2 linked regions of the Tamandua tetradactyla genome follow. The main gene of each other region encodes a partner of the protein of the gene in region 2 in a complex. Links are inferred from orthologs where the notes say so. Each region holds a gene or a part of one and is shown on either strand. Other genes may lie near its edges.

Region 1 (6,325 bases), on a different chromosome or scaffold from region 2:
ACAACCCTTGAGACACCTGGGAACACCTGTACACCATGACAAGAAAATACCCTGCAGGGCTTCAAACACACCTCAGGAGCCTCCAGACTCCTCACTAGCCACCTCACTCCAGAAGAGTCCTTGTCTCTAGAGGGACAGAAACCAGTCCTGGTGGTAAGGAGAGGGGAGAAGAGGAAAAGGGAAAAACTCACCCTCCCACCTTCCAGGGACTGGCAAAGGCAGCTCTCCTTCGTGTTTTCTGCTTCTTGCCTTCACGGTTCTGTCCTGGGTGGAAGGAGCAAACAGAGGAAAAGCGGCTCACACAAAGATGAGAAGACAGGAAGCTGCAGAGACAGGAGAAGAGAGGGAACCACCGAATAGCAAAAAGCCAAAGTGATCCCACCTTCTTAGAGAGAAGCTAGGAGGAAAAGTCTAAGACCCGTTGCCCAGCCAGAGAAAGGTTTAGTCCCAGAAGCTGGGGGACTGCTGGCTCCCTTCTTCACCCAAACGGACCCACGCAAAGGAGCATGCATGCCATCTCCCAGGGTCCACCCCTCCACACCCTAGTACTTCTTTTCCACATGCTACCTCGGAGCCAGTGGTTCACAACTGGGAGTGACTCTGCTCTCCAAGGTACATGTGGCAATGTCTGGAGACATTTTTGGCTGTCACAACTGAGGGATTGCTACTGGCATCTCATGGGCAGAGGCCAGGGATGCTGCTAAAACAACAGCCAGGTGGGCCCTGGCAACCACTGTGGAATGACTGAGTGTACCACTGCTGAGAAATCACCTCCATGCTACGAGCACAGGGAAAGCCTACTCTGTGCTTGGGAAGGATGGAAGATGAGAAAGCAAACTGACTCTGGCTCATTCTCCCCTCTAAACAGCAAAGAAACCATTCCCTAACTACACTGTCTTGTGAGAGAAATCCAAATCCAGAAATCCTGCCAGGAGAAAAATCCTTGAGAGAATCGACCAAAACAAGCAAACAAATAACGTGTCCCAAGCTTTTGTATCACAAACTCTCAGAGGCAAGCATTTGGACCCTTCCCTGCGCACGAAAGAGCTGGAGGCACGGACTAAGGGCTGAACGCAATATCCTTGCCTTCCACTTCCAGGCCTACGAGCGGAACACAACTTTCTCACCTTCAATTTTCCTGGCTACCTGATTAAAAGGGCTCCTTCTCACAGGCCTCCTCCAGCTAACCCATCGCCCCCTCAGCCTATCTCCTCTCCATGATGCCTCCCCACCTTCTCTTTCTTGGGCCTCAGTCTACCTTCACTTCCCCAGCACCTGGCTTACTGCTGCTAAAAGGCTGCCCCCTGCTGGAGACTGGAGAGAGGTACACACTGGTCCTCTGCATTCACACCAGGTGTGGGGGAACAGGAAGAGAGGCTGTTTTGGGGGTTCAGAACTCATGGGAGAAGGAAAAGATGCAGAGACAGGCAGTGCCAGCAGACACTAAGTAACGAACATTACTTCCTCATGCCACACCCCTAAAATTAGCCCTAATCCAGGGCAATGTCCCTTGGCACAGAGGGTACCACCATCAGCAGTAGTCCCCAATTTCCCCGATCCCAGGTCTGCCAGAGGGGCCTTAGCCCTTTCTCAGGATGAAAAGATTCTCCAAGCATGACAGGGCCTGAACTCGGAGGCTTAAGGGAATATAAACCTGTGCTCTTCCCAGCTGGCCCCAACTCTACAGGCTCAACCATCATGACAATGCCACTTGGCATTTACATGCTGTGTAAGTTTTCAACACCCTTGCATTCCTTATCTCATCTAAGCCCTCCTGCCCACTTGGCTACTCTTGGGCTCCAGCTGGGGGAAACAAGGAAGGGGAGTTGAAGCAGCCCTAACAGGGTACCCCGACTTCCCTCAAAAACGCTATGCCAGCCTGGAGAAAAGGATCACACATCAACACAAACCATCCCAAGCTCAAGGCCATACTTCGTGAGTTTTAAGCCATTTTTGTTTTGTTAGATATCTGTAAGCCTTCCTACAGCCTCCTCTCTCCTTTAAAATCTCTAAAATAGGGCTATATTCTTAACCCCGAACTTTAATGACAGACATCAAAATGAGGCCAATCTGGGGTCCTGCACCCATGAAATCACAAAGGACGCAAATGCATCCGCTGCCTGGAAATGCTCGTGGAGAAATCCCAGGACAAGACTCATGCAACCATATCATGACGTGGGATGCTCAGGGCTGCGGTTCCCAAGCAGTGCTGGGACACAAGGTCCTGCCCAATTACATGATGGCAACAGGGGACCAGGACTGACAGCGAGGAAATAAAACTGGAGCCAGGCTGGAGGGGAGGAGGCCTGGGCCTGCAAGGGGAACGGGAGAGATGGGAAACAGCCAGAGACCAAAACTGCCACGTTGTGTGGGGCCCATGGGGACTGACTGGCCTACTGGTGCTGATGGTGTTTCAGTGGTAAAGGTGAGCAGTATGGGGTAGGGAGGGGAGGACAGGTTAAGTGGAAAGAGCTCCCAGAGGGCCCGCAGCCGATGCAGATGAGCTTTGGGAAAGCAGCACTTTGAGAAGTCAGAGGGGAGCCAGACTGGGGTGGGTGGAGGCAAGAAGCAGCCACAGGTATTTCTTCAGAATCTACGATGGGACATCCCTGCAAGCTGGCATGGAATTTCTAACAACGACTGGGTAAAAGGCGAAAGAGAGGAAAAGCTCCTTGAAGATCCTTGGCGTTAAATAAAAAGAAAGAAAGAAAGAAAAAAAGGCCAAGCCTAAGGGGCTGTGGCTAGGAGCTGCTGTAATGGGGGGGAGGGGGGCGGGGAGGTTGCACAGTTTGGGAGGGTGGACGACGGAGCCTGGCTTGGTGGAATCAAAGCCCCGGCCGCCCCTGCTCAGCCCAGCCAACAGGGAGAGGGGGCGACCCCAATGACCAAGCATTAACGCCGCTCGCCGACAGGAAATTTAGGGGGAGAGGCAGCCGAGGTGCTCTGGCTAACGGGAGAGGCCTCCAGCTTGGCCCAAGTCACGGAATGCTTGGACTGAACGACCCGCCAGCCCCAGCCAAGTCCGCCGAGAGCCCCGGAGAGGGCGGGTTGGGGGGACCGTCTCGGGACTCGGACACTGGGGTCGCAGCGCCCTCGGCGCGCGGGGGTGGTGGGGGGAGAAGCTGCGGCCCCCAGAGCAGGGCTGGGGATGGGCCCGAAGGGGCGACCGTTAGGAGCGCGGGGGTGGGTCGGAGGCGGGCCGGCCCCGGAGGACAACGTGCCCTTCAGGGAGGGGGCGCCAGGTGCGCGGGCCGGGGGGCGGCGGGCGGGCGCCTCCCCCCCGCCATGGGGCCCTGGCCGCGGGCTCGGGCCGCTCTCGGGGCGGCGGGGAGGGCCCGGGAGGGCGGACGCACCGGGCGGCGGCGCCTCGGGGAGGAGACCGGGGAGGGTCCGCGCCGGCGGCCCGCGCTCTGCCTCGGGCTCTCGCCGCTCGGCGCGGCCGTCTCGGTGTCGGGGGCGGGCCGGCCGCAGGCCCGGCTGCGGGCCGGGGTCCGCGGAACTGCCGGGCGCTTACCGCGGGCGGGCGGGCGGGCGGCGCGAGGCTCGGGTCCCGGGGAGGGGGCGGCGGGCCGGGGGCGGCGGCGGCGGCGGCGGCGGGGGAGGGGGCGCTGCGCTCCCGCGGTGGCCGCTCCTCTCTGTTTGTGTTTGTAGCAAGATGGCTGCCCGCCTCGCACCACGTGACGCGGACGCGGGGACGCGGGGCCGCCCCCTCCGCCGCCGCCGGCTCCCTCCGCGCCGCGGGCCCCTCACGGCCCCCGGGCGCTCCCCGCGAACCCCGCGGGGCGCGGCACCGACGCCTGCCGCCCCCGGAACCCTGGGCACGTGACCGGGGAGCCCGGCTCGTCACGTGACGCGGGGCGGGGGCGGGGGGGATGTCCCCGGGGTTAGTCCTGCGCTCCCCGCGCTGGCCCCCGGCACGTGACGCGCGGCGGGCGGGACGGAGGTCGTGGCTCTAGTGGCATCTTGGGCTTCTCCTGGCCGGGCGGCTTCCTTCGGGAAGCCCTCCTGGATTGAAGGAGGCGAAGTAAAAGCGGGAAGCGTTCCTTATACGTCCGGGGCTGTATGGGATAAGCGCAGGACCTGGGATTTAGGAACTGTTCCAGGCGGCCCCGGCCTGGGAGACCTAGAGTTCAGATTGCCCCAGTCGCCCATTAGCCTCTACACTGCAGGCGCATGAGGTGATGCTTTCGAGCCTCAGTTTCTCTTCTTTAGAAGGGTCTTCAATGCTCTTCTCCCCGTTCCCTGCCCCCACCTCCTTCTCTCATGGCGGTGAGAACCAAAGCAGGTGAATATGAAAGACTTTGAAAAGAAGTAAATCACCCTGCGGATGTGAGACATTAGACTGAAGCCTCCTTTGTTTCTGAGTCGCTGAAACTTTTAGGTTGGCAAAGTTGCGTGTTCCCCCATTCCCTTTCGAAGTCATTCCAGAATGTAACACTCTGCTTCCCTGCTTCCTAAAGCAGCTGTTACCAAAGCCATATGCAGTGTTCCTCACTGCTCCCAGGTAAGTTCACGACTGGAAAGTTGAGCCCTAGTGTATGGTGCCCTAGCAGAGCCGCGTGGAAGGCCCTTTATTCCCGCACCACGTACCCTCAAGGGTTTTGTGCATTTGGAGCTTTAGCGTTGACTCCCCGCCCACCCCGGTCCTGTTGGGCTTCTTGTGGTCAGGATTCTTGCTTGCTCCCAGGCTGGAAAATGCAGTGGCTGAGAAAGTAAGAGCCTGTGCTGCTTCCATCCCTTACTGACTGTGGCTTTAAACTTGTGGGTGGCCCAGGGCAGGCACCCCACAAATGTCAGCTAGTAGAAATTCCTGGTTCAACATGACCAGGAAACACACAATATTCAAGAATTAACACTGTATGAAAATGTAGCAACAGAATCCAAGCTTGGGTGAGAACTCTCCTGGAAGATAACCCCACGACAGCTGTTTTTTCTAACTCAGCAGCTTTTGGTGGCGGTGGTAGTGGTTGATTGTTTACCTTTCTGTATTGGAGCTGTGTTCCGGAGGCTGAACGAGTGAGCTCTTAAGTGTGTTTTAACAGTTTGTAAGGAAATGTGAGATTGCAGGATATGGTGGGGAAATGGAGGTGGAAGCACTCGGATGCTGGTGGCATGAGTGGATCTGGAGGGAAGTACAGATTTAGGAAAAGTGGACATAGGTTTGTGAATAGCAACACGCTGTGCTGACCAGAGAAGACTTAGATTGGGAGTTGGATGAGACGTGAAGTGAAACCTCAGTTGGGGACCTGGAGTTCCGATTGACCCGGCTACCGACTAGCTCCTACGCCTCAGGCGCCAGTCTGATCAACACAGATCAAAAAGTCTGTTTTGATCTGAGAGTAGCACTCGTTGTAGATGTAGCATGTCAAGGAGGGCACTCTGGGCTTTCCAGGTAAGAAGACCACAGTGATCCCTTAGGATCCTCCATGTCTCCTGGTGAGTCCTTTTGTCTCCCCTGACAGTACAGAGCGGGCACGCTGCTGCCTATGACATTGTGGAAACTGAGTCGTGTAAGCCCCCTCTTTGAGAGAAGCTAGGAAATCAGGATTGTGAATCTGCCAGACAGAATTAAGGAAAAGGATGATGAAGAAGCCATTTAGATCTAAAATACTTTCATTTATTCAGGCGCTATGCTGCAGTAAAATGTCTTGGTCTGTACTGTTTTAAATTTGCGAGGGTTTGAACTAAACAAAGAGATTTGGCTGGATGATTAATTGAGCTGAAAGGGATGTCTGGGGGAAACCAAGGTTGCCCTTTTTTCTCAATGGTAGAGTCCCCTGTGGTAAGGTGGAGAGAGATAAAGGCGCTATTGTTGTCAGATTGGTTTATTACAGAGCCTGGCTTCACCACCTCAACTTGCAGCTTTTCTGTTTACCTGGATGTCATAGTGAGTAAAATCTGCTTTAGCTATCAGGCAAAGACACACGCCCTGAGTAATGTGGTGAGAGTTCATAAACTGGGCTTATTGTTAATTATTTTAGACATAATGGACCTTAAAATTAATTTATTGCATTCACAATTACTTCCTGCCATGAGCCAAGTTCTTTGGTCGACCTACATTATGGAAGTTGCAGTGCTATTTCCACTATTTGAAACAGTCCCTCTGTATTTACTGTATTTACCCCTCCTACAGAGGTTGCCGTAAAAGTGCTGCAGACAGCTTAATAACCTGAAACGGTGTGTTTTCTTCATATTTCGACACTCCCCACTTCAAGGGGTCAAAGCAAGGGCAGAGTGAGAGAATGGCCCCCGGACAGCGCAGTGCAAATGGTAAAATGTGCTGCAGATGTCAGACGTGGGGTTCGTAAGACTGGGTGCCTAGAAG
Region 2 (6,325 bases):
GTCCTTCCATCATTCCAGCTTCATTAACTTTTCATCGAAAAGCAATCATTTGTTTGACTCCCTTGGAGAGGCCCACCACATTAGAATGCAGATTCTACTCGCAGAATCAAGGAAATGGAAGGCGGCAGGACGAAGCAAGACAGCTCTGTGTGATGGAACCAGGCTGGGAGTTGAGGGGAGGCAGGTTTTACACCCAGAACCCAAAGAAAAGGTACTCTTTATTATTCTCTAGAGTAGTGGTTCTCAAAATTCTCCAGAGTAGTGGCATCAAAATCAGCTGGAGGGCTTGTAAAACCAAAGCCTCCTGGGCTCCATCCCCAGAATTTCTGACTCAATAGGTCTGGGTTGGATCATAGAAGCTGCATTTCTAATGAGCTCCCAGTTAATGCTTGATGCTGCTGGTCCAGGAACCACAGTTTGAGAATCACTGAGCTACTTCACCCTTTCTCTCCACCCACCCCCAATGAAGTAATTGCTGCAATATCCATGGAGAAGTGCATGGCTTAAGCAGTGTTTTTCTCCTTAAACCCTTCTACAAATGTGGCTCTTTGGACATTTTAAGACAGAGTTTCCATAGATAATTCTCCCAGCTCTTCCTTGAACTGAGCCCAAATCTGTCTCCAACACCTTCTACCCGTGGACCTGGGTTGGCCTCCAAGTTCCTCAAAGAATATATCTCTGCCTATTTGTACATAGCAGCTCTTTAAAGATTTGAAGAGGGCCATCATCTGCTGCCTGCTTCTGCTCTGCAGCAACCTCTTCAGCACTTTCATTCTGCTCCTTCACTCATTGTGCAAAGATGGGAAGTCTGCCATCAACGACTGCTTCCTCTCCGAGAAAGACTAAAAATTGTCAATGCTTTCTTTCAAACCATAATGTCTAGAAGTGGACATAGTGCCCCAAAGGGGGTCTCACCAGCTTGAAGAACAGTCTTTTGAAAGACTGTATTTCTTAAATGGACCATTTTACACCTTTAGTCGCCTTGAGCATGTGGTCACTTGCAATGAGATCTTTTTGCATGAGCTATGTCCAGCCAGGATAACTCCATCCTGGCCTTAACTAGTTGACTTTTAAAATAAAGGGCAACATTAGCATTTAATCCTCCCAAACATCATTTTATTTAGTTTTGCCCATCTTTATAGATTGTAAGCAAATGCCTTAGTGATAAGGAGGCAGGGCATGACAGACCATAAGTATGAACTTTCCCATTTCAGTTTTGCCAGGGGTCATAATTCATACTTTATTTAGTCTAAACAGCCACTAATAAATGGATCTTAGTTTCTGCATTCTCCACACGCATGGCCATCACCTGCCTTAATGTTTCCCAGTCAGCTCTGGTTTCAAACATTCTTTCTATTGCCACAAATCCACAAGCCAAACCCTGGATCTAATTTGGGGGTCAGAAAATGTGGTCTATATAACTTTGCCTTTTCTCCAGGTATTAAATATAGTTTAAGATAATTGGAGACAGAATTATTTTACTGGTTTAAGCTGAGGGAGAGGGCTAGTAAAGGGAATCAGAGGTTGAGAGGCTAAAGTCACAAGTTCAATGTCAAGGAAAAATACTAAATAATAAGAGTTCCATTTCTTAAAAAGTGAAGTTCTGTTTATCACAATTCTTGATCCATCCAGATAGTCAACTCTTCATTTTTATCTAAAAACTTTCTTAGCAGATGTTGCATATTTTGAAGCTATTATTATGCACACACTCCTGGAGCCCCTACCTTTAGGAAATACAAGATGCAGCTTCTTTGCAGTCAGGAATTAATGTAAATAAAATGTTCGGTAGAAAAGGCAGAAACTTCGATGTCAGCTCTGCCTGGCTTGAGGTCTTTCTAAGTTATGTAGGCTTTCGCGAAGGGAAATACATCACACAGACATTTGAAGATGACTTTAGAGAGATTTGTGAATCTGAGTATGAGAAGGTTCAAAACGCTGCAACAAGGAAGGCGTGCACCGAGCTTACGAGATCCTGAAGAGAGAGAGCGGGGAATTTGTTGTCTCTTTCATCCACAGACGTTTCAAAGCACGACACATGTGGTAACAAAATGCATTGTGAAATAAGTAGTGTGATGGTATCTCTTCTTTAAGATGGGGACACGTAGGCAGAGAATGGCCAACAACTTTCAGGCAGCCCCGCTGCACCTCCGCGTTACGAACAGGAGGGCGAACCTGCGCTCACGACTTTTCAAATTAAACCCTGCGCGTGACCTTACCTAGGAGTAATGAATAATATATATGGAAGAGGAGCGGCGGAATGGAGGAGCACCGAGGGTACGCGGCGATCAGAGCGCCGGGCTTCAGCCACGCCCGTCTGTTGGCAGGGCGGGGGTGGGGTGTTTGCGTTCCGGGGAAAACGGATGGCCTCTCCCGGGATCTGCTTCGCAGCGAGGCTTGTTTGGCTCGCGACGGGGAACTCCCTGGGGAGCGGCTGCCCGGAGGGACGGGCGTGGTGGGGGGCGCCGCGAGAAGGATGCTCCGGGAACCGGGCTGGCGTGCGTACGCGTGAGTGCACGGTGGGGAGGGTGCAGGGCGTGTGATCGGCCCGGGCGGGATGCGCACCGGTACGGACGCTGCCGGGTGAAAACGCCGCGCAAGACTCGGCTCGGCGGTTTGCGAGGGGCATCGGGTGAGGGGACGGTCCTGAAGACCTGGGCGCACGCCTCATTCGTCCCACGCTGTACCGTAGCACGTAGAGATAGGGAGGGGAGACGGCGACAGGACAAACGCGAGTCCCCATGCACCCCCGGGAGGACCGGGACCAGTGCGCGACCAGTGCGCGCCCAGCGCGGTCTGGAGAACTACAGCGCGGACGGGTATTAAGAGAGAAGGAGGAGGCGTGGCCCGGCCGAGAGGACCCAATGGGCTGGTGAGGGGCGCGCGGGGGCGGAGCTCGAGCGCAGAGCGCCGGTTGGCCGGATCGCCCTCTGGTATGCAGATGCGGCGGGGTCACGTGTCAGGGGCCCGGACGACTTCCTGTTCACGGCCACCGCGGGGCGGGGAAGGGGGCGCGAGCGCCCCGTCTGGCTGGAGCGGGGGGAGGGGGGGTTCTTGTCAGTTAGAGCAACAAAATGGCCGCGGTGGCAGCTCAGCACCTCAGCGCGACGGCCCCGGGAGCCGCAGCCGCCGCCGCCCGCGCCGCCGCCCCGCAGCCCTGAGCGCCGCCGCGTCCGCCCTCCGCTGCCCCTGACAGGCCAGTGCCCGCGCCCGCCGTGCTGCTGCAGACGCTGCGGGCCCGCCCGAGCCGCCGGCAGAGGGAGCGGAGCCGGCCCCGCGCCGAGCGCGCCCGCAGCCGCCGCCGCTACCCCCACCCGGGACCCGGGGCCGCCTCGGAGCCGCCGTCCCGCCGGCCGGTGCGAGGAGCCGGGCGCGTCGCGGCGTCGCCGGGCTCGGACCTGGACCTGCCGGGACGCGCCGCCGCCCACCCGCCCGCGCCGCCGCCGCCCGCGCGGGGACCTGAGCCCGCGGCGCCGGGGCTGAGCGGACTCCCGCCGCCCGAGCGCCCCCGAGGCCTTTGGGTGGTCTCCGCCGCCGCCAGGCCCTCGCCGCCCTTGCCGCCGGAGCCCCGCCGAGGAGCTGCCGTCGCCGCCGCCGCCGGGGACGGAGCCCAGGTGAGCGGGCGCGCGGGAGCCCGGGCCGCGGGCACCTCCTCTCGCCGCAACTTTGCCAAAGATGTTCGCGTTCCCTTTGTTCGACCCGTGCGGAGCGGGAGGCGGCCCCCACCCGGAGCGCCGGTGGAGTAGGGGCGATCCCCCCGCCGCCCCGGACGCGCGCGGGCGCCCGCGAGGCGCCTGGGGACCGTTGTCCCCGCCCGGCTTGCCGGCACGCAGGGGGCTCTCGGAGCGCGCGCCGGCGCCTGGTTGATCCCGGATGCCACCGCTATCCGCGATGGCACCGGCGGACCCTGACCCAGGGCTCCCGGGACGTTTGGGTGCATATGTGTATATATATATATATATTTTAAGAGAGATTTGGCAGATGTTTAAGTGTAATTCGAGTCAAACGTGATTGGAATTGATGGTTTGAAAATAGATCCGTTCCCCTCCCCCCCTTTTAAAAACTGATGCAGTTGGTGAAATTCAGTTCTCCCTCTGAGCCGTAACCCACAGCTCTTGCGTTTCTGATGGCATGCCCGAATCCAAAGCATTTTAGGTTTAGGAGCTCCTTCCGGTACTGTTGTTTGGGGGGAGGAGGGCGGGGGTGGAATTCAGGGCGTCCTTTGAGCGATGCCTAAAGGCCGTTTGCTTTCTGCTGGTCTGAAATCAGGTGAATTTCTAACGGGGCTGCAGACTGCGGAGTAATGCGTATGAGAAAAATGAGCCCTACAACATCTGCCCTGCTATCAGATAACGTAACCCGAGCGTCTCATTTCCACCTCTGCTTTAAGCGACGCCTCATTTGCACCTTTACCTTTGGATGAGATTTAATTAATTGATTCATAGCTATTAAAATGTGCATATATGAATATAGGGGTTCTCAGCGTTAACCTGGCGAGGAAACAATTCGCTACCATGTGAAACCGAGCTTGAGGAATCTTACCAAAGATGAAGGATTGCTTCCTCGAGGTTATGTTGGGGGCTGGGGGAGGAGGGCCACTAGATCTCCGTTGCACCCATTGCATTTTAAGGTATTTGAGGGTGTAAGTGATTCTAGACGTCATGAGTTGAATGGTCTCAAACCTTTGCCTCTGTCAGATTAAACCTCCATTTGAGTGGTCTGCTCGGTGTTTTCTAGGCATGAACTGCAGATTCTGAACTCAAAATGGTGCTCTGTAGATGTCCAACTTAAGCCTCTTTTAAGGAATTTCAAGTTGGAAGCTTCTGATTGCCTAATCCATTGTGCTGCCGAGGGTTGGTTTTCCTCCAGGATTTGGCGTGCACATCCAGGCACTTCTGCCAGGATAGGTGGTCAGTTTATAATTTTCACTGCCTTTCTGCGTGTATTTTATGAAGTTATTTCTTACGTTGAGAATTGAATAACTGGGGATGAGTTGAGGCGCTGGAACTGTGCTGCAGGGAATTTCAGGGGACAGTGGTGGCTAGGTTGATCTGTGTAGGAGTTGCTGACGAGTGTAGGCATGCATTCCAGACTTCTACTGAGTGAAGAAGCCAGTGACAAGACTTAGCCGTCAGCTAGATGAACTTGGCTGGCAGAGGGCACCTTGACGGAATTTACATTATTCCAGAAGAACCGAGGTGGTGATGGTCCTTGACCACCTTTCAATATGATACCCCTAGGATGCTTTGTGGGGGGAAGTGATGCAAATTGAGGTTTTAAAAATGACAAATTCAGTTATATTGTCTGAATTAATTTTGTTGTTATGCTAACAGAGCATCATAATGGTCTGAGTTGCTGTTTCTTTGTTTACCTTTATCGAAAATTTTAATATTTGTATTTTCATAAGAATAAAGAAACTTTGGGTCACGAGAAATTGATAGTCCAGAAAATGGTAATGGTCAGATGATTGGCTAAGTTAAATTATACTTATGGCGGTAAAGACTCATTTCTTAAAGGCAGCACTTCCTCACGCCGGGAAATGGTATTAGGGCCCAGGTGTATATAATGCTAAGATATTAAGATTTGATTTTATTATGAGGATCTAGTTGAAAAGGCTTATTTTGACTCTTTATTTGCATATTTCTTATCCATACCAAAGACATTATTGACCTGTACCTCAGTTTTACTATTAAAGAATGAAATTAAATGAAATTGGTGCTGAAGTTATAGAGCTTAATCCTATTTCACTTTGGAGTCTGACATTTAAATAAATATTCTGGAAAAAAAAATCTGCTAGTGCTCTGGGGGTACATGTAAATTTTGATTTCAGATTTTATTCCTTATTTGTTTTCTCTCCTTTTTAAAGTGGCAGGTTTAATGCTTTTGCAAAGATTATTTTGTAACATGTTTTTATCTATATTCAGTTGGCTCAGGAATTTGGAATAAATAGTTGCCATTAGAGTGCTGATTATGAGGGGAAGGTGGGATAAATTGTTTCATTTGATTCTCCCTGATTAAAAAATAACTACATTGCAGAGGAGTGTATGAAACAGTATTTCCCACCACCACCACTTTTTGGTTAAACAGCTGGCTTTGCAAAGATAAATTTCTGCTTTTCCAAATACTGTCATCTGGCTCACTTCCAAAACCAAGCTGGAGGAGGAGGCCAAGGGTGGAGTAGGACAGCCTTCTTCCTTAGTGGAAAGAAATGGAAGATAAAATTCCTGTGTCCTGGCTGAGAGTGGGGTTTGTATTGCTTCCTGCCCCCATGCTAGGGGGATAAGTCCTAAATGTAAACTTGCTCTTCCTGGGCACAAGAAAGTGATGC

Evidence for each region.
Region 1: the proteins of TNRC6C (region 2) and GIGYF1 are in contact, whole or in part, in a crystal structure (PDB 7RUQ), measured with the Homo sapiens proteins. The link is inferred for Tamandua tetradactyla from reciprocal best matches to the Homo sapiens genes TNRC6C and GIGYF1. Residues at the interface, in NP_001136112.2 of Homo sapiens: Arg1719, Pro1720, Pro1721, Pro1722, Gly1723, Leu1724, Thr1725; in NP_001362694.1 of Homo sapiens: Tyr479, Asp481, Pro482, Gln487, Phe490, Trp498, Tyr503, Phe504, Leu508.

Annotation. Positions count from the first base shown.
Region 1 is NC_135349.1:8,770,900-8,777,224, forward strand, and holds the start of GIGYF1 (GRB10-interacting GYF protein 1), read right to left. Parts: upstream 3,531-6,325; 5' UTR 3,515-3,530; intron 3,243-3,514; exon of another isoform or gene 3,150-3,242; intron 2,729-3,149; exon of another isoform or gene 265-2,728; 5' UTR 192-264; intron 1-191. UniProt on the Homo sapiens protein: May act cooperatively with GRB10 to regulate tyrosine kinase receptor signaling. May increase IGF1 receptor phosphorylation under IGF1 stimulation as well as phosphorylation of IRS1 and SHC1.
Region 2 is NC_135332.1:70,317,298-70,323,622, forward strand, and holds the start of TNRC6C (trinucleotide repeat-containing gene 6C protein), read left to right. Parts: upstream 1-2,099; 5' UTR 2,100-2,257; coding exon 2,258-2,274; intron 2,275-3,518; exon of another isoform or gene 3,519-3,611; intron 3,612-6,325. UniProt on the Homo sapiens protein: Plays a role in RNA-mediated gene silencing by micro-RNAs (miRNAs). Required for miRNA-dependent translational repression of complementary mRNAs by argonaute family proteins.